Pelodiscus sinensis: one gene and its partners. The protein of the gene in region 1 binds, or shares a complex with, the protein of each later gene. Links are inferred from orthologs where the notes say so. Each region holds a gene or a part of one and is shown in the gene's direction. Other genes may lie near its edges.

The links.
Region 2: the proteins of TGFB3 (region 1) and ITGB8 are in contact, whole or in part, in a cryo-EM structure (PDB 8VS6), measured with the Homo sapiens proteins. The link is inferred for Pelodiscus sinensis from reciprocal best matches to the Homo sapiens genes TGFB3 and ITGB8. Residues at the interface, in NP_001316868.1 of Homo sapiens: Gly262, Asp263, Leu264, Arg266, Leu267, Lys268; in NP_002205.1 of Homo sapiens: Ser156, Ala157, Ser158, Asn161, Arg206, Gln210, Cys211, Tyr214, Leu216, Ser247, Gly248, Asn249, Ile250, Asp251, Thr252, Glu254.
Region 3: the proteins of TGFB3 (region 1) and TGFBR2 are in contact, whole or in part, in a crystal structure (PDB 9B9F), measured with the Homo sapiens proteins. The link is inferred for Pelodiscus sinensis from reciprocal best matches to the Homo sapiens genes TGFB3 and TGFBR2. Residues at the interface, in NP_001316868.1 of Homo sapiens: Arg325, Lys331, Trp332, His334, Tyr390, Tyr391, Val392, Gly393, Arg394; in NP_003233.4 of Homo sapiens: Leu50, Phe53, Asp55, Ser72, Ile73, Thr74, Ser75, Ile76, Glu78, Val100, Asp141, Glu142.

Annotation. Positions count from the first base shown.
Region 1 is NC_134714.1:43,366,601-43,374,125, forward strand, and holds the start of TGFB3 (transforming growth factor beta-3 proprotein), read left to right. Parts: upstream 1-4,520; coding exon 4,521-5,004; intron 5,005-7,525. UniProt on the Homo sapiens protein: Transforming growth factor beta-3 proprotein: Precursor of the Latency-associated peptide (LAP) and Transforming growth factor beta-3 (TGF-beta-3) chains, which constitute the regulatory and active subunit of TGF-beta-3, respectively.
Region 2 is NC_134712.1:201,088,400-201,096,256, reverse strand, and holds the start of ITGB8 (integrin beta-8), read left to right. Parts: upstream 1-4,841; 5' UTR 4,842-5,620; coding exon 5,621-5,747; intron 5,748-7,857. UniProt on the Homo sapiens protein: Integrin alpha-V:beta-8 (ITGAV:ITGB8) is a receptor for fibronectin. It recognizes the sequence R-G-D in its ligands.
Region 3 is NC_134712.1:184,714,823-184,722,824, reverse strand, and holds the start of TGFBR2 (TGF-beta receptor type-2), read left to right. Parts: upstream 1-4,986; 5' UTR 4,987-5,512; coding exon 5,513-5,615; intron 5,616-8,002. UniProt on the Homo sapiens protein: Transmembrane serine/threonine kinase forming with the TGF-beta type I serine/threonine kinase receptor, TGFBR1, the non-promiscuous receptor for the TGF-beta cytokines TGFB1, TGFB2 and TGFB3.

The DNA of each region.
Region 1 (7,525 bases):
GGAGGCATGCCCTTGTCAGCAAGCTTCTCATGCTTCCTGCAAATGATTCAAAATGTTGACTCCTTGTGACAGGAGAGCCAAGGCTATTTGTTTTTCCAAAAATTCTGGAAAATGTGTGTATGTCTAAGTTTTTCCATAGTCCTCAGCATACACCTTTTGTATCATGCAAACTATGGCCTTCAGTAGTACTTTCTGTTAAGTAATGCTGTTGGTTTTTAACAAGCACCAAGGCTCTGTGTATGTCGTTTTTTAATAAAAATGTGTTTTAAATAGTTTGAGAGTCAAGGACTATTTACAGATTAAACTGCCTGCTTCTGGCAGTGGCAACTAAGTGTGTAATTGCAAGCATTAGAGAGAAGTCACCTCCCTCCAAAACATCAGGTTGTGTTTTGCAGCAGCAGCAGATACTCACATTATAGTTTATTCTGCTACAAAGCCTGTTCTGTCTTGACTAGCAAATTGAATTTTAGCTTGCCTTTCTGACTAAAGTAAATGCTTGAGTTGTCTGGTTCCAGCGTGTAGATCACAAGTCTCATTTTCCTACTTAAAACTAAGCTGTGTCTTGCAGCTGCAACTTAAGTTTGTAAAGCTCAGTAATTAGAATCTCATCTGGAGATTTCCCATCTCTCTCTCTCTCTGGGTACATCTACACAGCAGGGCAAAACTCACATTAAGTTACGCAACTTCAGCTAAGTCAATTGCATAGCTGAAGTCAAAATAGCTTAATTCAGCTCTTGGTGCTGTCTACACAGTAGGAAGTTGAAGGAAGAACACTCTCCCTTTGACTTCCCTTACTCCTTGTGAAATGGGGATTACCATGAGTCAGAGTAAGAAGTCCTCCAGCTCGACATTATTTCAAAATAATGTCTTGCAGTGTAGATGCACTCTTCTGAGATGTTATTCCGAAATAACGTTACTGTTATTGTCAGAGACCAGTTGCTCCCCCAATCAGGAAGAGATGTGGGGGGTTAAGGTGCAGTCTACCAGCCAAGCCTTACAAGGCTGGCTCTTCCCCCAGTGGCTGATTCTGCCTCAGCACATACAGCCTATTTGTCTTCTTGCGGGCAGTCTGTCACTTTCTGTCATCCTCACTTGACTGTCAGAGCTCTCTTTAAGTAAGTCCGCCATATGGAGCATCTCCGAGAGCTGTTCAGGGGTAGGGCCCTTTTAGCCCAATACTGCTTCACCATTCCTTTAACCTTAGGCCTGGTCTACACTAGGGCTATGTCTACACTGGTAGGTTCTTGTGCAAGAAGTATTGTGCAAGAACATGTCCACACTGCCATGTGTGAGATGTGCTTTTGCGCAAGAGCATCCATGGCAGTGTGGACACTCTCTTGCGCAAGGAAGCTCTGATGGCCATTTTGGCTATAGGGCTTTCTTGCACAAGAAACCCCTGCCGTGCATCCATACTGCCCTCTTGCACAAGCGCTGTTGTGCAAGAAGGCTTACACTTGTAAAAAAAGAGCGTAGCTCTTGCGCAAGAAGCCCTCTCTTACCATGCCGTACTGTAAATCTTCTTGCACAAGAGTGGGTGGTTAGTGTAGACGTAGCCTAGAAGTTTAGGTTGAACTTAACTACATTAAGTAGATTTTCTAAACACTGAATCTATACCACCAAGGGGGTTTGTAATATGCTGCTTTCCCATGTCTCACACACCGTGCCCAAGCTCCTGCCCTGAACTCCGTTTCTGTCCCTTCTTCCTTGTGTTCACTAAATAAAAACACATTATGTCTCAACAACAGTATCTTTATTGCTTTTGTTGCCTGGAAGAGAGGTTACAGGATTTACAGGCAAGCACACTTAAGAGCAATGCACATGACTGTCATATCATTGTCTGGCCATTCACAAAGCTGTTTTTCAAAGCTTCTCCGATACACAATGCATGCTCCTTATTTCCCTAGTGTCAGGCCCCTCAGGCCCCCACCCTGCATAAAGCTTTCCTCCTTACTTTCACAGGTATTATGGAGCACACAGCAGGCTGCTATAACAATGGGAATGTTGCTTTTGCTGAGATCTAACCTAGTAAAAAACTTCAAAACCTTCCCTTTAAAAGTCCAAAAGCATATTCTAGCACCATTCTGCACTTTCTCAGCCTGTTGTTGAACTGCTCCTTGCTGTGATCCAGGCTGCCTGTGTCTGGCTTCATGAGCCACAGGTAGGAAGGGGTAGGCCGAGTCTTCAAGAATTACTTTTAATGGCACTGACCTGCTATGTAAAAAGACTTTGAGATCTTGGGATGAAAAGCTATAAAAGAGCTAAGCACAGAGAAGAATAATTCTGTGGGCAGGTTGCTAGCCTAGGATTTGGGAGACAGGTAAATGCCCTGCTGTGCCACAAACTTCCTGTGTGATTTTGGACAAGTCATATAGGGTATGTCTACACTTTTCAAAAAATCCCAAACCCTGAAGCAACAGGTCTCACAGAGCCCAAACCAACTGATTTGGGTCATGGGATTGGTGCTAAGGGGCTAAAAATAGCAGTACAGAGATTGCTGTTTGCCCTGGAGCATGGGCTCTTGAAACCTGAACAAAGGTGGAGGGTCTCAGAGCCAGGGCTCCTCCTCTGGTGGAAATGTCCTGACATTATTTTAGTCCCATAGCAAACCTAAGTCAGTTGACCAGGGTCCTGAGATTCGCTGTTGTGGGGATTTTTTGCAGTGTAGACATACCCAAAGACTCTCTGTGCTTCAGTTCCCCTTCCAAAACAGTGATAGTGGTACTTCCCAACTTCACAGGATAATACATGAAAGATTGTGGGGTGCTGACACACTATGGTGAGGGGGGCCATATGGGCATGTAGAATACTTAGTTCCCCTACTTGTCCATGCCTTCTGAATCTAAGTAAGGCTTTATCCAGCCCACCCATAAAAATTGCCCCCCTTTCCACATCCTATCCACTGCTTGGATCCACTTTCTAGCTCCCCCTCTCCCAGACTCTGTTGCTGGCTCTTGAATCCCTTGCCCCAATCCTATTTGCCATTACCTGCCCAGCCATGCCATCCCTCACCTCCACCACCCCGGTCCCTCATATCCCTTCCCCTTCCCTGCTGTATCCCATCGCTCCAGCAGCTCCAGCAATTGCTCACATGGAAAAATCACATCAGCAAAGTATGTCATGTATTTTTAGCTTCTTTTAATGCAATTTAGCAGCTGGAAATCAGCGGAGGCGCCAGCCTCAAGTCACCCGCCAGCTCTCTGCGGACCACCAGCGAGGGCTGCAAGGAGCTCAGGCTGGGAACGGCGGGGGTGAGCGGCTGCCTAGGAGCCGCGCCACCGGCCTGTGCTCCCCGCCAGAGAGCGCCATTGGCTTTCCCGAAAGCCCCACCCTGACTTCCCGGCCCCGGGAGCGCGTTCCGAGCCGGCCCGCAGAGCTGCCCCGGACCACGATTAAAGCCGCGCGGGGCCCGTGCGCTGAGTCTCCCCCCGGCCCCGAACGCGGTGCAGCAGGGTCTTGTTGCGGGCCCAGGCACGTGCCCACGTCCCATTTCGGAACCCGCCAGCCCGGCAGTGGGCTTCGTCCCCCAGGATCACCCCGCGGGCGGGGCCCAGGGGGAGGGAGGCGCTGCTCAGCGGGGCGGCGGGGAAGAACGCGGTCAAACCAGGGCTGGGGAGCAAAAAGTGGGAAGTGGCAGGAGAAGGGGCGCGAGCGGGACGGTGCAGAGGGGAGACTGGGGGCAAAGCACCGACCCTCCCCCCTAGGGAGGTGGGACACCGGCCCGAGCCAGACAGCCGGGCGAGAGGCCGAGCCTGGGATTTGCCCCCCTCCCCTCGCGCCTGTGCAACGCATTAAACCCGGGTTGAATGTGAACGCTGGGCCGGCAGGTCCCTCCCCCACCCTCCTGCAGGCCCGCAGACGTCATGGGAGGGAGGTATAAAATTTCAGCCGAGCGGAATAGAGAGTCAGTGTGTGAGGGAGCGAGGGGGCCGGGGGCCAGAGAGGGCGAGCGAAAAGGACAGGCGCGCACGGGGCTCCGGCTGCGCGTGGGGATACCGCCCGCAAAGCGAGGCGAGGGGCAGCGCTGAGCTACCCCAGGCTCCTACCTGGACCCCGCGGAGACGCCGGAGGGATGTGCAGCGCGGCCGTCGCTTAATTCCTCGCAGCGCCAATGGAGCCAAGCGGCCGCGAATGACAAACCCCGTCCTGCCCCGCGAGGGGCTGTGAACTAAGGGGCGCGCGTGGATAGTGCATGCCCGCAACAAGTGTGCGGAGCCTGCGCCTGCCCGTCCCCGGGGGGCTGCCTGACACGGGCGCAGGAGGTCGCTGCTCCAGGGGACCTGCCTCTGGAGCTGCGAGACTGCCCCGCGGCACAGTCGAGCTCCAGCCTCTCTGCGGTTGTTCCTGGCTTCGTGCGGAGGCGCCCTCCCCTGCCCTGGTCTGTCTGGAGCCCTGGCTCAGCGGGTCCTGCTTGGACACATGGAGAAAGATCCCGGCTCGCCGCGGCACAGAGCCTGTTTCTCCTTCCTAAGTGTTGCCAGCGCTTCCTGGAAGTCCTGAATCGCTCACTGCACAGTGAGTTCATGCACCTTCGTGCCAAGCCTCAGTCTGCAGGATCTGGGGAGGCTGTACCGAAAGCCCTGCCTAGTCTCCTTAGCCCACTTGCGCTTCCTCTGGGGTGTCCCCTCGTTGTGGCTCCCTCTTTACTCTCGCACATGAAGATGCACTTGCAACGGGCGCTGGTGGTCCTGTGCCTGCTGAGCTTTGCCACCGTCAGTCTCTCGCTCTCCTCTTGCACCACCCTAGAACTCGACCACATCAAGAAGAAGAGGGTGGAGGCCATCAGGGGGCAGATTCTGAGTAAGTTGAGGCTCACGAGCCCCCCCGAGACGGTAGGACCAACTCATGTGCCCTACCAGATTCTGGCCCTGTATAACAGCACCCGGGAGCTGCTGGAGGAGATGGAGGAGGAGAAGGAGGAGAGCTGCTTTCAGGACAGCACCGAGTCCGAATATTACGCCAAGGAAATCCACAAATTTGATCTGATCCAGGGTCTTCCCGAGCACAGTAAGTTCCCCATCATCCTCTGCTCCTGTGCATGGCTTTCAGGGCGTCATCCTGGGAGGGACCCAAAACTGAGCAGGAGGTGCATAGTGCATGAAGCCCAGAGGCAAGGCTGCCTAGGGTGGGGAGCAAGAAGGAAGGGACAGCAGTGCCTTCTACTGGGACAGGGGAGGGGGAATGCAGGAGGAATACTTTGCACTTCCCTCTGGAAGGGATGAAGTTTCCTGGCAGGAGCATTCACAGATTCTGATAGCCATTCTGAGGCAGGTGTCTAGTAACTGTGGACACGTCTGCTTTCCCATCCACTTCTAGCAAAGAAAAAAAATAGCAACTCTTTTGTTGTCTTTTTTTAGGTGATTGATCTAGGCCACATTGCTGTAAAGTGTGTGCCTGACAATGCTTATGTGTGGGTGTGTATGTACAGCTAGTTGTGTAGCTTTCTGTACAAAAGTGAATGTGTACACACAGGTCTATTTTTGCATGTGCACATTCTATATTATGCATTGTCTGTCTGTGTCTGCGCACATGTGCATGTATTTTATATGTGAATGTGTGCGCACATGTTTGTCCAAGTATGTGTGTGCACATGTGTGAGTGCCAGTGCGTCTGTTTATGTATCTACATTTTTTACCAGTGAGATAAGACTACGTGTGTTTCAGCCCTATGTGAGGCTGGAGTGACATATGAGACATTTGTTTCTGTGTCTTGGGGTATAGCTGAGTGGGAGTAATATGTTTTCATATCTTCATGGAGGTTTGTACATGGTTGGGAAGAGTCCATGCGTTTCAGTGTGCAGTGTTTCTTGGCATGTGTATTTGCTCATATAGGGAAGTTGTGAGATGTATATGTGCTTTTGCATGCCTTTGAACATATATGTTCAGTGTATGTGAATCACATGATTACAACAAAGATTTTCAAAGCACAGTAGGAATGAAAGAAATCTGGCAAATGCTGAGAGACTGCACAGACGAGAACCCCAGAGTCTGGGAATAGCCTCATGCTGCCTTCATACCATAAGGTGTCCTCATGGACGCTGAAATTATTGTTTATTGGGGCAGCAAGTGTGTATGTTGGGGGAATAGAGTGAAGACAACACTAGAGAGCCATAGGTGTGGGGGTGGTATGTAGAGTGTATAGGGGAGCCTGGAGATAAGCAGTGTGAGTGGGAGGGGTCTGAAAAAAACCTAAAGATGAATTTTAAAAACAATTTTTTTTAAATGGCCAAGTGCTGGCTGGAGAGCAGCCTCCAGCAGGTGGAGGAGTTTGAGCATTGGCAAGCGGCAGGCAAGGGATGGGCTTTCAGTGTCTTGGAATAACATCAGCCTAGACTCTAGCCAAGGAATAGCAAGCCCAGCCAATGTTTGAAGCCCTGATATCCTGAAGAAGATGGGAAGGGAGGAGACACATACACCCGACTGGAGGAGAGAGAAGAAAGAAAAAAGATGGTGAGCGGAGGCGATGAGGAGGAAAGAGTTTGGGGCTTGTAGGCTGAATTCACCCTAAAGGATTAGTAGCAGAAATAAAAGCGTGTCTGCATGCGGAAAACATAGTCCCAGTGCTGGGCCATATTAATCTGTGGCAAAACTCTGCTGGCTTCAGTGGTTGCAGTAGGAATGGATTTGGCTCATTTACTCTGCAGAATGTAGTCAGATGCAGAGAAGACAAAGATACATGTACAGAGGAAGGCAGACATGGAGATGTGGAGAGGTACAGCCACTAAGGGAAGACAGAGGAGATGCTGAGGAAACTCAGATACTAAGGAGACACACACAATGATAAGACACTGCATAAATGCAGAGGAGACTCAGATGCTGAGCAGATACTGGAGAGACGCTCAGGAGAAACAGATACTGAGGGGACAGATAATGAGCAGAGGATCACATAGATGCTGAGCAGGTGCAGAGCAGACACCAAAGTAGATGCAGAGGAGATCTCAATGGGACACACACACACCAAGGAGATACTGAAAAACAGATGTGGAGCAAGTGCAGAGCAGATGTTGAGCAGATACAGATGCAGACACTAACCAGATTCAGGTTCAGATACAGACCTAGAGACTGAGCAGACACCAATCCCGAGCAGATTGCAGATGTGGGAGCTGAATGGATGTTGGGACTGAGCAATCCCTTCAGTCAGTGCTGGAGATTCCTCAGTTCTGGAATACAATGGAAGACATGCAGTGATGTCCCAACACAGGGGTTATGTCTAGACTGGCAAGTTTTTCTGCAAAATCAGCTGCTTTTGCGGAAAAACTTGCCAGCTGTCTACACTGGCCACTTGAATTTCCGCAAGAACACTGACTTCCACTGTCTGAAATCAGTGCTTCTTGCAGAAATACTATGCTGCTCCCGTTCGGGCAAAAGCCCTCTTGCGCAAATCAGTGCTTTTGCGGAAAAGTGTCCGTGCCAATCTAGACACTCTTTTCCGCAAATGCTTTTAACGGAAATCTTTTCCGTTAAAAGCATTTGTGGAAAATCATGCCAGTCTAGATGTAGCCAGGGTGTTCCTTGATGCTGTAGTATTG
Region 2 (7,857 bases), on another chromosome or scaffold:
TCTCTCCTGGGTGGTCACCCAAGTGCTCACCTTTCAAGGAACACTAGCCATGGGTGGGCTGCAGTCCTTTCACTTAGCATCTAGGCCTACCCACAGCCCTGAATCCATAGGCTGGGAATGCGTTAGTTGTTCCAAGTGAGGGGTGTGCCACTTGTTAGCAAGGCTGAGTGGTACCAGTGGGACCAGAGACTAGGGCAGCGCACAGTGCCATCAGGAGAGGGAAATGGCAGGCTGTGTCAACAAACACCAAGCTGGTGTTGGGAGTAGCAAACAGAGCTTGAACCCTGGTGGGTCCCCTCTGCCCCATGGATGTGCCCTGCAGACTATGTGCCCTGGGCAGCTTCGTATTCTCTTGCATGCTGAGCAATAACGGTTGGCTGGAGTGAGGAGTGGGAGGCCATTGTTGCCTGTTCTTTCATGCAAAGATCAGTGTGCACTCAGTTTTCCTGTCTTAGCTATGCCACTGAAAAAAAGATCTGCCCAGATACAAATTGTTTATCCCCATTTGATCCACAATCCTCAAAATCTGCATCTGTGGATATAAAGCATATATCTGCAGGTTTGTAGGGCTCCAATTATGAAAAGCTCAAAGGCCAATCTCCAAAGTAGAGGGGTTCAAACTTTCTCCCTGCCCTGGTGCTTTTGTTTCTGTTGGGAAGTCCTGTGCTTTTGCTTTTAAGAACTTTTTTTCTTTTTATGGGATGCATCCTTGAAGCTCTTTGGATTTAGTTTTCACACTGTTGGAGGTACCTGATCCTTTTGTTGATTCAATCAAATATGTTGTTTGTTTATCATCACCCTGTATCTTCATCATTGTCTGGTCTAGTGAGTAGTACTGCTATTCCTCATGCTACCTAACCCTTAGCCCTGGTCTACGCTAGGTGATAAGTTCGAATTAAGATACGCAACTTTAGCTCCGTTAATTCCATAGCTTAAATTGAAGTATCTTAACTCATATTTTGGCACTGTCTATACTGTGGAAAGTCAAAGGCAGCACACTCTTGCTTCAACTTCCCTTACTTCTTGCAGAAGTAGGACTATCAGTATTGATGGGAGCGCCCTCTCAATTCAAATTAGTGTGTCTTCACTAGACCCACTAATTTGAACCCTGGGAGATTGATTACAGCTACTTCAATCTTATCTGTAGAGTAGACATGGCCCTAGAGTAAGAATCCCCTGATGAAGAGTTCTTACACTGTAATTGTCCTTGTCTGCAGAGACCATCATATATGGTTCTCACCCACCCACTCACCTCCCCTTTTAGAAATTTTGTTTTTAAGGTGGTAAATATAGTCTTTATAGTTGTGCACAAGTGAGTATTTCATTATTTTACTCAAAAAAGAAACTGACAAATGAAATTACTAGTGGGCTGTACCACTCACATATTCCAGTTACTGATGGGGGAGTGATATGTAAGGCCTTCCACAACTAAATAGTGTTAGAGTTCATAGCCAGTGCTGTGATAGAAAGTGAAAGAGTGAAAATTCTGTGAGATATCCTTAAACAAATAAAATTGCTAAGTTATATTCCCTTCTAATACAACTTTCTGACATAATATTTGCTTTAAAGTAGAAAACAAGCTTTTCTTTGTATATAAAACTCCAAGGCTACAGTCAGAAAGATATTAGCCACTCAGACAATTTTTAACAGATTTTTGATCACGCAGGTCATCTGTAATCAGGATGCCATTGCAGGATGTTCTCAGGTTTTGCAGACTAATTAAAATATTCCAGATGCGTTTGGATTGTCTTGACACAATGATTTAAATATTATAGATAGAAGTGAACCAAGTTTAGGGTGTTCCCAATATGCTTCACAAATGTCTCTCATTTCAGTCTAATTTACATAGGTTCATATAAACCTTCACTTTTATTGTTTTACAGTATTTACATTAAAAACTGGAATTGTAGAATTATAAATTCAGAAACTGGATTTATGCCAAACAAATGAATCCCACAGCACTAAGCTCCTTGAATGAATAATTTTTATTCCCATTATTTACAGGTAAGTTTGCATCCCACATTAGGGCTTTCACAGGTTGAGGTCTGATACCCAAAATTAATTTTAGGAAGGGAAACAGAATAATGGTGTAATATTTTAAAACACCTGTCTGGCAGTGGAGAGATTAGTTCCATTTCCATGTCTGCCCCAGAATTCCTCCAGAATCTTGGGCAAGCGATTTAACTTAAGCTTTATTTTTTCCAGTTTCTAAAATGTGGATAATAAGATATCCAGTATTGTTGTGAGGCTTAGTACACTGCACATTGTTAAGGGTATTAGATGTAAAAGTATTGTTAGGTATTACTTTGTCTAGAATTATGTCTTAGTTACATTTGAATGAGTTATTAATTCTATACTTATCCACAAAGACAAACTTTGATACAATTTCTGGATGAGTATCATGCCTACATGTGCACTGATGCCAGTTCAACAGTAATGGAAGCTTAAGTATGATGGTAAATTTTTAAATTATTAATTTGTATTAAAGTTGTGTTTAGATGACTGGGGTCTAATTGTGCTGGACACCATTTAAAAATACAAAGTAAAAGACATTCTCTACCCCTAATGAGCTACAATCTAATTAATCAAGAAAAACAGAAATTGAAGGAACATGACAGTATTCAGAACCCTTGAACTTTTGACTGATAAAGAACAAGTTGTACAGATATGTATGTGTATCTGCAGATAGCTTGTAAAGTTTTCATGGATATCTAACTTCACACATGGCTAATTAGATGCTGGTGGTCTCAGCTATAAACAAGGTAGCACATAGTCTTTTGGAAACTGAGCCCCAAATAAATGATTTAATAAATTGTTAATTATTCTAACTCTTAAGAAGATTTGAAGTGACAAAATGCACCTGGGGATAAGGAGGGAGTTTCCTAGCTTTTGCTTGAAAGCAAGGTACTTTCCATTCACTTACTAACTCACTCAGGAGTAGTGTTAACCTTTGAACACTCCTTTGAACACTCCTACTTTGTGAGGGGGTGGAAACCCAGAATAGAAGATTGCCTAAGAGGGGTGATAGAAGGGGATAAAATAAGTATTAAAAGAAAACTAACAGAGCGGCATGGAAGGGGGCCAGGGTATTCCCATAGAGCAGTGGTCACCAACCAGTAAATTGGGATCTACTGGTAGATCTTGGAGCCTCTGGCAGGTGATTTTGACTGGTTTGTCCAAGAGGCTATCAAACGCTGGCACTTCAGCTGCCCGTCCCCGCACTGCTGTGCACCTCCTGCCCTTTGCCTTGGAGCTGCCCCTCCCCCATCCCCCACTTGCTGGGCAGAGCAGGGAAGGAAAAGAAGGGGGCACTAATGTCAGGGTGTTCCCTCTCCCATCCTGTGGTTTATCTCCACAGAATGGAGGGGGGCACAACAGGACTTGGGATGGAATTTGCTGGCTGCTTTTGAGAGTAGTGCAGGGCCAGCACAGAGGTGAGCCTGCCTTAGCCCCACTGCACCACCTGTGGTAAGTAGTGTCCAGCTGGAGCCTACATCCTGAACCCCTGCCCCAGTCATAAACCCCCTCGTGCACCCCAAGCCCCTGTCCTAACCCTGAGTCCCCCCCATCCAAACTCCCTTACAGAGTTTGTACCCTGAACGCCCTTCTGCCCCCCCAACTTCCTGCCCCAGGCTCAGCACAGAGCCCCTCGCATTCCAAATCCCTTGACCTAAGACCAGAGCTTGCACCCCAACCCTCTGCCCCAGACTAGTGAAAGGGAGGAAGAATGGGGGAGTGAGGGAGGAAGGAATGAGCAGGAGCGGGGCCTCAAGGAAAGGGCATGAAGGAGGTGGGGCAGGGGTATTTGGGTTTGAGGTAGATCGTGGATTGCACTTAATCTCAAAAAAGTGATCTTGTGCTTAAAAAGGTTGGCGATCACTGTCATGGAGTCACAGGCACTACCAACGGGGACAGGGTATCTTAGGAGAAGAGGGCGCTAGGCAATCAAGTGGTGGTGAACTGGGAGCTAGAACTGGGCAGCACCTGTGGTGGGATGTGGGAGAGAGCAGAGAATTATTCAAAGGTGGGAGGGGTTGAGAAAATGCATGTGTGCAAGGGAAAATAACAACATTCTGCACAAATACCCTGATCAGGCTTCATGCTTCACATTGGTGGGAGCCAGAGTAACATGGTTCCCACAATGCTGCCAGATCTGCCCTAGCTGCAGGATCTGACTGAGGTGTACTGTCCTCTCCCCATGTTTGCACAGACGGGAGGCTAGGAGGATCCTGGAACTGTAGAGGATGGAACATGAATCCCTGCATCCCTGGAACATGAAGGGGATGGAAGGTGCCCTGGGGATGGGGTGCAAAGGTGGTGATGTGTCCTGGATATGGGCAAGAGGGGGTAGACATGGGATAAAGGACTCCAGATAGGGCCACAAAGAGCACCAGGGTGAGGAGTGGTGACGTAAGGATGGGCGCAGGTGGGAGAGGAGGTGCCACAGGGATGAGAGTGGGGAGTAAGAGCGTGCAGGGGTGAAGAAGGAGGCGGTGCCACAGGGATGGGTGCAGGGGGAAGAAGCTAGGCGGTGCAGAGGGACTGGCACAGAGGGAGGTGAGGGGAAGGTGCCGTGGTGGGGACGGTGCACTCGAGGACGTGCAGAGGACTGGAGGGACGATGCAGTTGTGCGGACAGTGCAGGGAGGCGGAGAGGGGGAAGTGCCGGGAGACGAGGTGCCATGGGGGCGGGAGCGCCGAGAGGTGAGGGCCAGAGTGGCCGAGGGAGGGAAGATGCCATGCTGGGAGTGGGACCGGGGAGCGAGGGAGCGGGGGGGGATGAGAGGGGCGCCGAGGGGAGGAGGTGCAGCGTGGCTGTCTGAGGGAAGGTGCCGCGCTGGGGGCGAGGGGCGGAGGCGCAGAGGGATGGATGCTGGCGCTGGGCTCCGGGAGGCTGAGGAGCTGGGCTGGAGCGAGGCAGCACCGCAGGCGGGTTCCGCGGCCCAGCACAACAAAGGGAACAGGGCGGGGGGGCGGAGACTTGTCGCCCCGCCCCGCGCGCCGCCCCGGAGCTCCGCGCCCCGCAGCCGGACGAGCTCGCAGCTGCCCCTGCCGCTGGTGGTCTCCTAGCAACGCGGGACCCTGCGAGCCGGACACGCCGCGCGCCGGCGGGGGGCGAGCGGCACCGGCAGCCCCAGCGCCCGCCGCGGAGCCTCCCTGCTCCCGGGGAGGGGCAGCCCCGGGCCACTGACCCTCCCCCGGCAGAGCCACCTGGCGGGCCCGGCCCGGGGGGCAGCTGCTTCGCTCTTGGTTCTGGGGCTGCGCCAAGTGCCCGCCGCCGCCTCCGGGCAGAGGGAGACAAAAGCCCTTTGTGAGCCGGGCCGGGGGCGGATGGAGGCACCCGCCGTCCCTGCGCGGAAAGGACCCGCCGCCTGCCGCCGCCAAGTGGCTTTGCGCGGCGCTCGGGGGTCCCTGCGCTCCCCCTGACATGCGGCGCCGCGCGCTGCCCCTGCTGTGCCTCCTACCTGCGCAGGGCGCGCCCCTCCTCCTCCGCCCGCTGCCGCCGCAGCTGCCTCGCCTCCCCCGCAGCCACCCGAGGCCACGGCGGGGCTGAGAGCGAGCGAGCCGCTCAGCCGAGACTTGGCCGCCAGGACAGGGAGAGGTGCCGTCTGCTTCGCATTATGTGGATCCCACTCCTGGCTTTTCTGACTGCTGGAATCGTCTCTCTGCAGAAATGCCAGCGAGGGCCAGGCCCCGTGCTGCGGGCAGCCCGTGTGCTCGCCGCTGTGCCGGGGCTGTGCCAGCGCCGTAAGTTGCCGTGCTTTGTCTGCCTTCGCGTGTCTTGCGCGCTCGCGAGTGGGTTGAATGGGGCGCAGTGGCAGGTGAGCGGCTGCCGGGCACGTTTGGAGAAAGTGGCGCCTGAAAGGCGCAGCGCTCCTGACTGATAAGAAACTGCTCGCCGCTTAGGAGCCGTAAGTCTTGGGAGCCTAGCGCTTGACAGCGATAGGTTGACACACAGGTCGGGGATGCCTGCAAGTGCCTTCCCCGGTATGCCCCTGCAACGCCGCCTCTCTTGAGGTCAGGTGCAGCTGGCCTATTTTACCTACTGTCTGGCCCTGTCCTTGAATCGACTGTCTATAAAAAAAGAACTTCAGCGTTCCTGGGAGAGCAACCCATACAATTAAGGGGGTGAAAGTAATTCACATAATTTCATGGTGTCACACTCTCTTTGCACTAGTGTGTTATTCCAATGTGCTGTTTTTAGGATGGGTAATAGAGATCTTTGCAGTACTAATGGTGGCGCAAAGGTACAGTTTATAGTTGGAATAAAAACATTAAATTCATTAATTGTCTTTAGCTCAGTGTGGGGCAACATCTGATCAAAGTAAAGGTAATTGTCTCCTCCCCTCCTAACCTGCCCATCTTCTAAAAAGAAAAGAAAAGACAATATTAATGTTGAGAGACAAATTGAAAACTTAAATTCCATTACATGTAATATACAGGTGATATTACAAACAAGTGTGAGCCCAAAAGTGCAGGCCATGGGACACTGATATGCATTGACATATCCATTGAGTTCAGTAGGGGTTTGTGCATACTGAAGCCATCCATGCAAATAGTTCTAAATTCATAAAGAAATTTAGTCATGAAATGAATGCCCCCCCTTCTCTTTTTAACCTTCTGCACTAGAAACAGGTTTAACTAATTTTAGTAATTTGGTAGACTAAAATGTACTGTTACGTATTGGAATTGTATGCCAAGTTTCAGCTTGGAGTTAATTAAAATGTCCAAATTGTAGCCTTATAAAATAAGATTTATGATGGCAATAGTTCTTATCCTTTATTAATTGTTGCATATGTAACAAGCTAATGTCTAATTCAATAAGATGTACTCAGTACTATTAAATGACATAATATGGAATAACTTCAGTTAATTTTTATGGGGTGGGGTTTTTTGGTTTTGTGGTTGTGTTTTTGGTTTTGGCTTTATTTTTGAATTAACAATGAACCAAACTAAATGTCACTGAGAAAACAGTTTAATATCAAGTTTCTTACGAAGCAATGACATCCTGTATTTGGTATCTTCTATACTAAATGAATGAGCACATTGGCCCTTGTGTTTTGACCTGCGATTGGACTGAGTTCAATATAGGCTGTCTTTGAGGGAGTGGCTAGAGTGACTAAGCCATTTTTGTACTATTGAATACTTCACATCTCTTCCCTCTCATTCTGCTGCAACAGCCCATTCGAGAAACATATAGCAGTACAGAATAATTGGAGCAGTCATGCCTCTTTGCTCCTTCCCTGGTGTGCCCCTGTGCCAGGTGTGATAGAAGATCAAAGTTCTTGCTTCCATCCTCCTATACCCCCTATTCCAATTGAGGTATCCTCCATAAGGAGCCACTTTGGTTTGTGACTTTTGTATGTTTGTGGAGCTGGTGTACGGAAGCAACACCAGAGGCCACAATTCAGATCTGTGTTTTTGCTGATCTGCACCCGTGAAAGAGAAAAATAAACATGTTTGCATGCAGATCCACGACTAATATGTCAACAAGAATGAGTGAAATTCTGTTTTAAATTATGTATTGTTGATACCAATATATTATTTTATTCTATTTAACTGTTACATGTAATTCTACTTAACAGTTGCATTAAAAATAGATTCTATCTTCACTTATACCCATGGAAGTCTGTGACATGGGAAGTTAGTTGCATGTGTGTGTAAATGAAAGTACAATTTGATCTTTCATTTGGATTAAGGTTGGAACACAAAATAAAATCTGAGAAACTACTGTAAAGTTGCACGTCTCACTAAATGACCTCTAAGCACAGATAAAAGATTAGTTTTTCTGCCACTGACAAAGGATCTCTTGTTCAGAAACTTTTACCAAAGGAAATTACAGTTCAGTTAAGCCAAA
Region 3 (8,002 bases), on another chromosome or scaffold:
TTAGCGTTTTGCTGAACTGAGTTAAGGCTGGCCGGAACAGGTGCCGGCAGGGCATCAGGTTAGGACTTAGGGTATGTCTACACTACCACCCTAGTTCAAACTAGGGTGGTTAAAGTAGGCAACCGGAGTTGCAAATGAAGCCCGGGATTTGAATTTCCCAGGCTTCATTTGCATTTTGCTGGACGCCGCCATTTTTAAATGTCCGCTAGTTCGGACTCCGTGCCCGCGGCTACACACGGCACGCGGTTCACAGTTAGGTAGTTTGGATTAGGCTTCCTATTCCATGACCTCCGCACTAGTCCAGGAGGCCGCGCGCCGTCTATGTCCCCTGGCTGGCTCCTGGGTGCTGGGGGACTGGGCAGGGGACATGTCGCTGGCACTGACTGCCTGGCTCATCGTGCGGCCTCTCGGTCAGGGGCAGAGACTGCTGGCAGGGCTGTCTCTGGAAAGTGCCGTCTGGCCAAAGTCTACCCCTTTAAGGGCTGGGGGAGAGGAGAGGAGTTTTCCTGGTTGTGACCAGAGTGGCCACCAGGGGGAACCTGGGAAGGGCTAGCCTCCCACTAGTTCGAATTAAGTGGCTACACATCCCTTAATTCGAACTACTTAATTCGAACTAGGTGTTAGTCCTCGTAGAATGAGGTTTACCTAGTTCGAATTAAGCGCTCCGCTAGTTCGAATTAAGTTTGAACTAGCGGTTTGTATGTGTAGCGCCTATCAAAGTTAATTCGAACTAACATCTGTTAGTTTGAATTAACTTTATAGTGTAGACATACCCTAGTAGATAACTATGTTCTTATTGAATTATCATACTACCTAGAAGATAGAGTCTTACATCAGGAACCCATCATGCTAGGCATTGTACAAACATAGAACAAAAAGACATTTCCAAACCATTTACTATAAGCATAAGACAAGTCCACAAATGGAGAAAACAACAAACTGACAGGGGAATACAAGAAACTAATGTGACAATATTGGTCAGCATGCTAGGCGGTGATTTCACAAGATCACACACACCTTGTTTCCTATCAGCTGTGCATTTGTGCGGTTGCTTAGGAGAGAATCAAATGTTTTCCAGTTGATTAGCAGAGAGCCCACAGCTCAGTTTTTGGTTTCTATTGATAGTGCACTTTCACACAGGCCTTAGTACACATAGAAAAATGTGTTTTGTACATAGATGAAAATTCCAGATAGGGTTGCCTGGTCTCCGGGTTTTTTTTGCTCAACAATTTTGATCTCCCCCTTTTTTTCCTCAACAGAATTTTTTCCCTGGTGGTTTTTTTTTTTTGGGTGTTCAGTATTTTTGGTTAAACCATTCTGGCAACCCTAATGACAGATTCTGTCACAGAAAACTGTACGGATTGCATAATACATATTCTCACTCTTACTTTGTACATACTGGTGTTTCTATCTAAGGTATCAAAGAGTCACTGCTGTTTTCTTTGGGGATCGCAAACTTCATATATATTTAACCTATTTCTCCCAAAGCAACTATGACAACATTAACCATTTATAATTAACAGTATTTTTAAGTATTCAGTCATAACATTTTGTTCCTGTGCCATACAGCACTGTATATACAATTGTTGAAGAAAACAACAGCTGTGACCACTGAAAAGAGAACACTTCCTAAACTTCTTTTCTAGATACATCTGAAGTTTGCATTATTTGGCCTCCCTCACCTATGTCTGACTAAAGTTTATTATTCACCCTTTTGACTTAGAAATAAATAGGCAACTCCAGTCTGTGAATAAGGAAATGAAAACCGTTAATAAGGAACTGGAACAAAGTAACCAGCTTTAGCATTGTTTTATATATTTTCAGTTGTCCAGGAAATCCTGACTAAAGTGAGTTTGGGCCTAAGCATGGGATCTTTAGGTGCTAAAGAAAGGCAGGAACAGGACCCTTGTGTGTAAGTATACCACAACCCAGGTACATCTTTGTGAAAGTACAACTCTGAATTGCATTACTTTTTGCTTGTTAGTATGAGTGCTATATAAATTTTGGTCCAGGTAGTTAATTTTCCTGTAGAGCGATCCAAGCAAGAATTTACTATGTTTTGACAGTGATCCACAAGCCTTCTCACAGAGCAGCCCCCATCTTAAAAAAACAAAAAACACTTGATCTCCAACTTGTGATTGTACAACCATTCTTCCCCTCTCTCTTCATAGCCATGTAACATTCCTTTGGCAACCATAGCAATTATTTATATGGAAAACTAGCATTTGAAATGAATGAATATTTAATTAATTCATAGCTTCTTGTAATCATGCAAGTTAGCATGGGGAAATAGATGAGATGCTACACCATGTGATAAGCCAAATTTCCAGTCCACTAGCAAGTACTCTGTGGTTCACAGTTAGAGAACTGTATTGCTACAATGTACAATGAAAGGTGCTAATAATAATATGTAGCCAAGTTACTAAAAATATGACCAGTTTGCAACACAGTGATGTTACACTATGAATTTATAAAAATACCCCACCTCTCATCTATACTCAAGTGTTACTGAGGCAAATTTTCCACCAACTTCAAGAAGGCAGTTTTGTCTGAGAGAATCTTGAGTAAACAAAACAAAAAGAAGAAATGGAAAAACCTCTTAGTGAAGTCTGAGAATTCACAATATAAACTATGACTACACTGTGTAAATATATTTTAGAACCAAATTTATGTAAAAACATAATGAGATTTCTGAAGTCTAAGTTATTGACCAATTACATACATTGTGTAAATCCTTCAAACTTCATAAACGGTTGATATGGTACATGTACATACACACACACACTGTCCCTTAAGGCTGAGTTTCTCAAACTGTGGGTCCTGACGCCCCGGGGGGTCATGAGCAACTTAAAGGGGGGGTTGCGGTATCACAACATTTGAGGACCCCTGCCTAGGTTTAGTCCCCATATCTGAAATATCCATATCAGCTCTGTATCCATATCAAATGTTGTAATCAAGACTCAGCTGAATCACAACAGAGTCTCCAAATATCGCTGTGTGCAGCAGTTTATTTTCCAGTCCATACACATCTGTATATGTGTGAGGAGAGTACAACAAACCTCAGAGTTATGAATACCAGACTTCCAAATTGACCAGTCAAGCACACACCTCATCTGGACCTGGAAATACAGAGTCAGGTAGCAGCAGAGGCAATAAAATAAAATAAATACAGTAATGTACTATGTTGAACATAAAAAACAAAGGGAAAGCAGCATTTTTCTTTTGTGTAGCAAAGTTTCAAAGCTATATGGATTATGAAGAAAGATAAAAGACTTGGACTTTTCAGCTTAGAAAAGAGGAGACTAAAGCAGGATATGATAGAGATCTATAAAATCATGACTGGTGTGGAAAAAAAGTGATTAAGGAAAAGTTATTTACTTATTCCCACAATATAAGAACTAGGAATCACCAAATGAAATTAATAGACAGCAGGTTTAAAACAAACAAAATGAAGTTTTTCTTCACTCAGTGCACAGTCAACCTGTGGAACTACTTGCCAGAGGATGCTGTGAAGAATAGGACTTTAACAGGGTTTAAAATAAAAGCTAGATAGATTCATGGAGGTTAGGTTTATCTATGGCTATTAGTCAGGATGGGTAGGAATGGTGTCCCCAGCCTCTATTTGTCTGGAGATCGATGACAGGAGAGGGATCACGTGATGATTACCTGTTGTGTTCCCTCTCTGTGATGCATCTGGTATCGGCCACTATCAGCAGACAGAATACTGGGCTAGATGGTCTAACCCAGTATGGCCATTCTTATGTTTTATATTAAGTCAATGTTCCATTGTAAATATTTGAAAGATCAATGATAATGTTTTATTCAGTGTTATTCTTGGTTCTGGACATCCAACATTCTGGTCATCTGAAGAAGTAGGTTGTGCCCACGAAATCTCATGATGCCATCTACATGTTTTGTTAAGTCTTTAAAATGCTTAGACTATTAAACATTTCAGAGTTATGAATCACTTCATTCCCAGGTAGTCGTAACTCTGAGGTTCTACTGTAATATCCACAACCCATATACTAAAACTGAATATACTTTTAAAAGTTACTTCATGTCCAGTGGCAGCATTTTTAGTGACTTCCAGTGCCTATTCACTGCAAACATCCAGTAAATCACATGGTCTGTGGTTGTGATATAAGTGGTGAATGGTTGCATTGTACTGATTTCATCCCTAAAATGTTATGTCTTCTCATCCTGATTCCTAGGGGAGGAGGAAGCCTGGTTATTTGGGCTGGATCAGGGAAGGAAGCTGATGAGTTTTACCAACCTTGCATATCTACAATGTATGTAAAACATCCCAAAGTCATGCTCCTTTACTGATGTAGTAGGTTCCTGAGACAGTTAAAGAACAGCACGTGAGCCAGTTGCACATATATAAACATGTCAATACATACACTACAGCTAGTAGTCATTACTTCATCAATTTTATTTTAGCATGTGAATGTTTTAGTGTACTGCCAGGATTTGAAAAAATGTTCATAAACATATTTGTGAAAACATTCACCATTTTCAAGTTTCTGGTGATTTTGTGCCTAAAAGAACAGGAGAATGTGAATTTCTCCATTTTCATTGCAAACCTCAATTTTGCTTTTTCAAGGCCGTTTTCCTTCCACTAGCAAATTGAGTCCATTTGCAGGCACGTTTTTGTTTATTTCCTTTTAACTTTTTTTTTTCTGCAAAATATGCAACCTATTTTCAAGTCTGGAACAAAACACAAGGGGGGCAGGCGACAAGTGGTTATGACTGTAATGGTTGCTAGTGCCTGGCTTGTTTCTAAAAACTCAGTACAAGGCAGTCTGTACTAACATTTCCTGTTATTACTGTCACTTCAACCTCCCTTCCCCCTTGATTATGTCACCTGCCGGCGAGGTTTGATCTTTGTGGCTCTGACTGCCCCAGTGAAACACACAGGTGGAATGCCACCAGAGGAGCCCTAGTGGAGTCAGCAAGCAGGCCAGTGAGCCGGGGAGCAGTCTGCCCACTTGGAACACATGGCTGGATCGGGCTGATTGTACAGCGCCGAACACCAGGGCCCCTCAATGCACCACTAACAGGCTATTACAAGCCTTGGTCATGTGGCTCTGGGGAAACTCTCCCTACTTCTCTTCCTAGGCAGGGCAACTACGCCTCTACCCACAGCCCGGGCGCGGGACAGGCGCTGTGGCTGGCTAGTGGGTGTTTGCGGTGTCTGCGAGCCCTGCGAGGGGCTGGCCTAGGGCAGCTGAGTGACAGCGGCCAGGGAGGGGCGGGGAGCCCGTACCGGAGCGAGCAAGTCCTGCCCAGCTGTTTGCGAAGTTGAAGATTTCCTGTTCCCCCTGCGGCGCTGAAGCGAAGCGGAGTGAGTCAGCCCGGCCGCGCTGAGTCCCAGAGAGGGCAGCTCAGCTGCAGCTGCCGCGGCCTCCCCTCTCTCCCCGGCCGGCCCGGGGCGCGCAGCCCTCGCTTCCCTCCCTCCTCCCCCAGGAGCCCGACTTCTTGCCTCGGCTTCCTATGCGGAGCGGGCGAGACTATGAGCCGGGATCGCCTCCGGAGCCTGGCGCTGCTGCTGCTCCAGGCTTGCGCGTGCTGGGCGCTCGCGGGCAGCACCAGCCCCCCTCTGGCGCGGGACTCAGGTAAGTCGCAGCCTCCCCCCGCCCCTGTGTCCCGGCTGCGCGTCTCCTCTTCGCCCCCCCCCCCCCGCGCTTGACAGCTGCTTGGCCGAGGGGGCGCGAGCCCGGGCGGGTCGGGGCTCGCACGGGAGCTGGCAGGAAGCGCGGGGGAGGGGGACTGCTGCGGGGCGAGCCCGGTGCGCGGCGGAGTTCGGGAGCGGAGTGCGGGGGGTTATCGAGCAGGGAGCCGCTGCAGCAGCCTCCTCACCTGGCCCCACGGTGCTGGGGACATGCTCCTCCGCTATGCCTCAGCGGGCTGCCCTCCCCCCACGCCGCCCCTTCCTGCCGCTGTCGCCCTAGGGCGGCGAGTGACAGAGCTTAACCCGCTCACTTGCGGGATGCCCCCTGGGGCTGAGCAGCGCTGCTCGGGGCGTTAGGTGGCATCGGTGGCCCAGGAACCTGACACCTGGGATGCAGGCGGATGGAGAAAGTGGCATTGGCGCTCAAGGAGTTCATCTGAGATCCTCCTGTTAAGGCCGCGGAGTATTGCACCCCTGCCTCCCTGGGTGTACCCCCGATTTGCTGCCTCTCCCACCCTTGCCCTGGGTCTAGATCCAGGCAAATTGATCTTGCCAAACATGCAACACTGCCTAAACATGAACTAATTTTTTGTTCCCTCACTATATGCAATTGTCCATTAAGTGCTGATCAGAAGCAGTTGCTGAAAACTCTCAGTTTCTTGCTATTGCAAGTCTTTGGGCATTGGCCGCAAGCTCGTCTCTCCTGTAGCTTGTCTGTGGCACCTACGGTTTAGTCTCCTGAGGACTGAAGTGTCTTGGTCCTTGGGCTTAATATAGGGGTTTCTATAAACTGGGTGAAATGTAATGGCCTGTGATATACAAAAGGTGGGACTTGATGAATCGATGGGCCCTCTTGGCCTTAAACTCTATGAAACTTCAGGTATTCTTTTAGTATTCAACGCATTCCTAAAAGTTAATACCTTTGTTTGTTTGCTTTTCATTACTTTTTACATCCCTGTGGAGGGAATTTTTAATTGTACTGTACATCCCTGGCTATGTTAAGGACATGGCTCGTGTTACCGTTAGCAATATATTTATGTTGTGCATTGGGTGATCAAACTACATTGCAGACTTATGTGAAAACAAGTTTCTTTGGCCTGAAAAACTTACAAGTTGGAGATGTAGCCCACAAAGCCTTATCCAAGTGATACCTCAGTAGGACATTTACATGTGTAAAGTTACATCTTGCGTCTACACTGCAAGACTTAACTCTGAAATAATAGAGCACTCTTCCTCTGACTTCCTTTATTCCTCGTACAATGAGGGTTACAGGAGTCTGAATAAGATGTCCTTCAGCTTGACAGTATTTTGACATTAATTCAAAATAACTGCCTGCAGTGGAGACGCAGGCTAAGTTATTTTGGAATAACGCTAGTTATTTAAAAAAAATATTGCAGTGTAGACATACCCTAAGGCTACGTCTAGATTGGCATGATTTTCCGCAAATGCTTTTAATGGAAAAGTTTTTCCGTTAAAACATTTGCGGAAAAGAGCGTCTAGACTGGCACTGATGCTTTTCCGCAAAAGCACTTTTTGCGGAAAAGCATCCGTGCCAATCTAGATGAGGTTTTGTGCAAGAAAGCCCCGATCGCCATTTTCGCCATCTGGGCTTTTTTGTGCAAAATAGTTTTTAGCTGTCTACACTGGCCCTCTTGTGCAAAAACATTTCCGGAAAAGGGCTTTTGCCCGAACGGGAATGTCAAAGTATTTGTGCAAGAAGCACTGATTTCAGACAGTAGAACGTCAGTGCTTTTGTGCAAAATCAAGTGGCCAGTGTAGACAGCTGGCAAGTTTTTCCGCAAATTTGCGGAAAAACTTGCCAGTTTAGACGCAGCCTAAGTGTCTAAAGGACTAGGCTCTAGAACATGCTATTGAAATTGGGTTGCATAGTGATTGTGAGGGGTCCATTAATAAAGAGATAAAAAAATTCAGATGGTTACCAAATAAAATTCCAAAAGTTTCATTTCTAGCTATTAATTTAACTCCACGGTGCATATTAGCAATAAACATCTATTCTTAGACCTTTAATATGTAATCACTGCATGGACTGTTAGAAGAAGTCTTTTGGAAGCTTTACTTTGAGTCCTCAGTTTTGTTCCTTTGGTCTAAATACCCTGTTTCGAAAAAAAAACCCTCTGTCTTGACGGGGTTATTTTGAGAAAAAACCCTTCTTTCGAAATACCCTAAGCCTCATTTTTTAAGGAGTAAGGGTTATTTCGAAAAAGCGCCCGGAAGCCATTATGCAAATGAAGCGCAAGATTTGTAAATTCGCACTTCATTTGCAATTTTGCTTGGCTGCATTTGCATTCCTCTTTCGAAAGAGGAATGCAG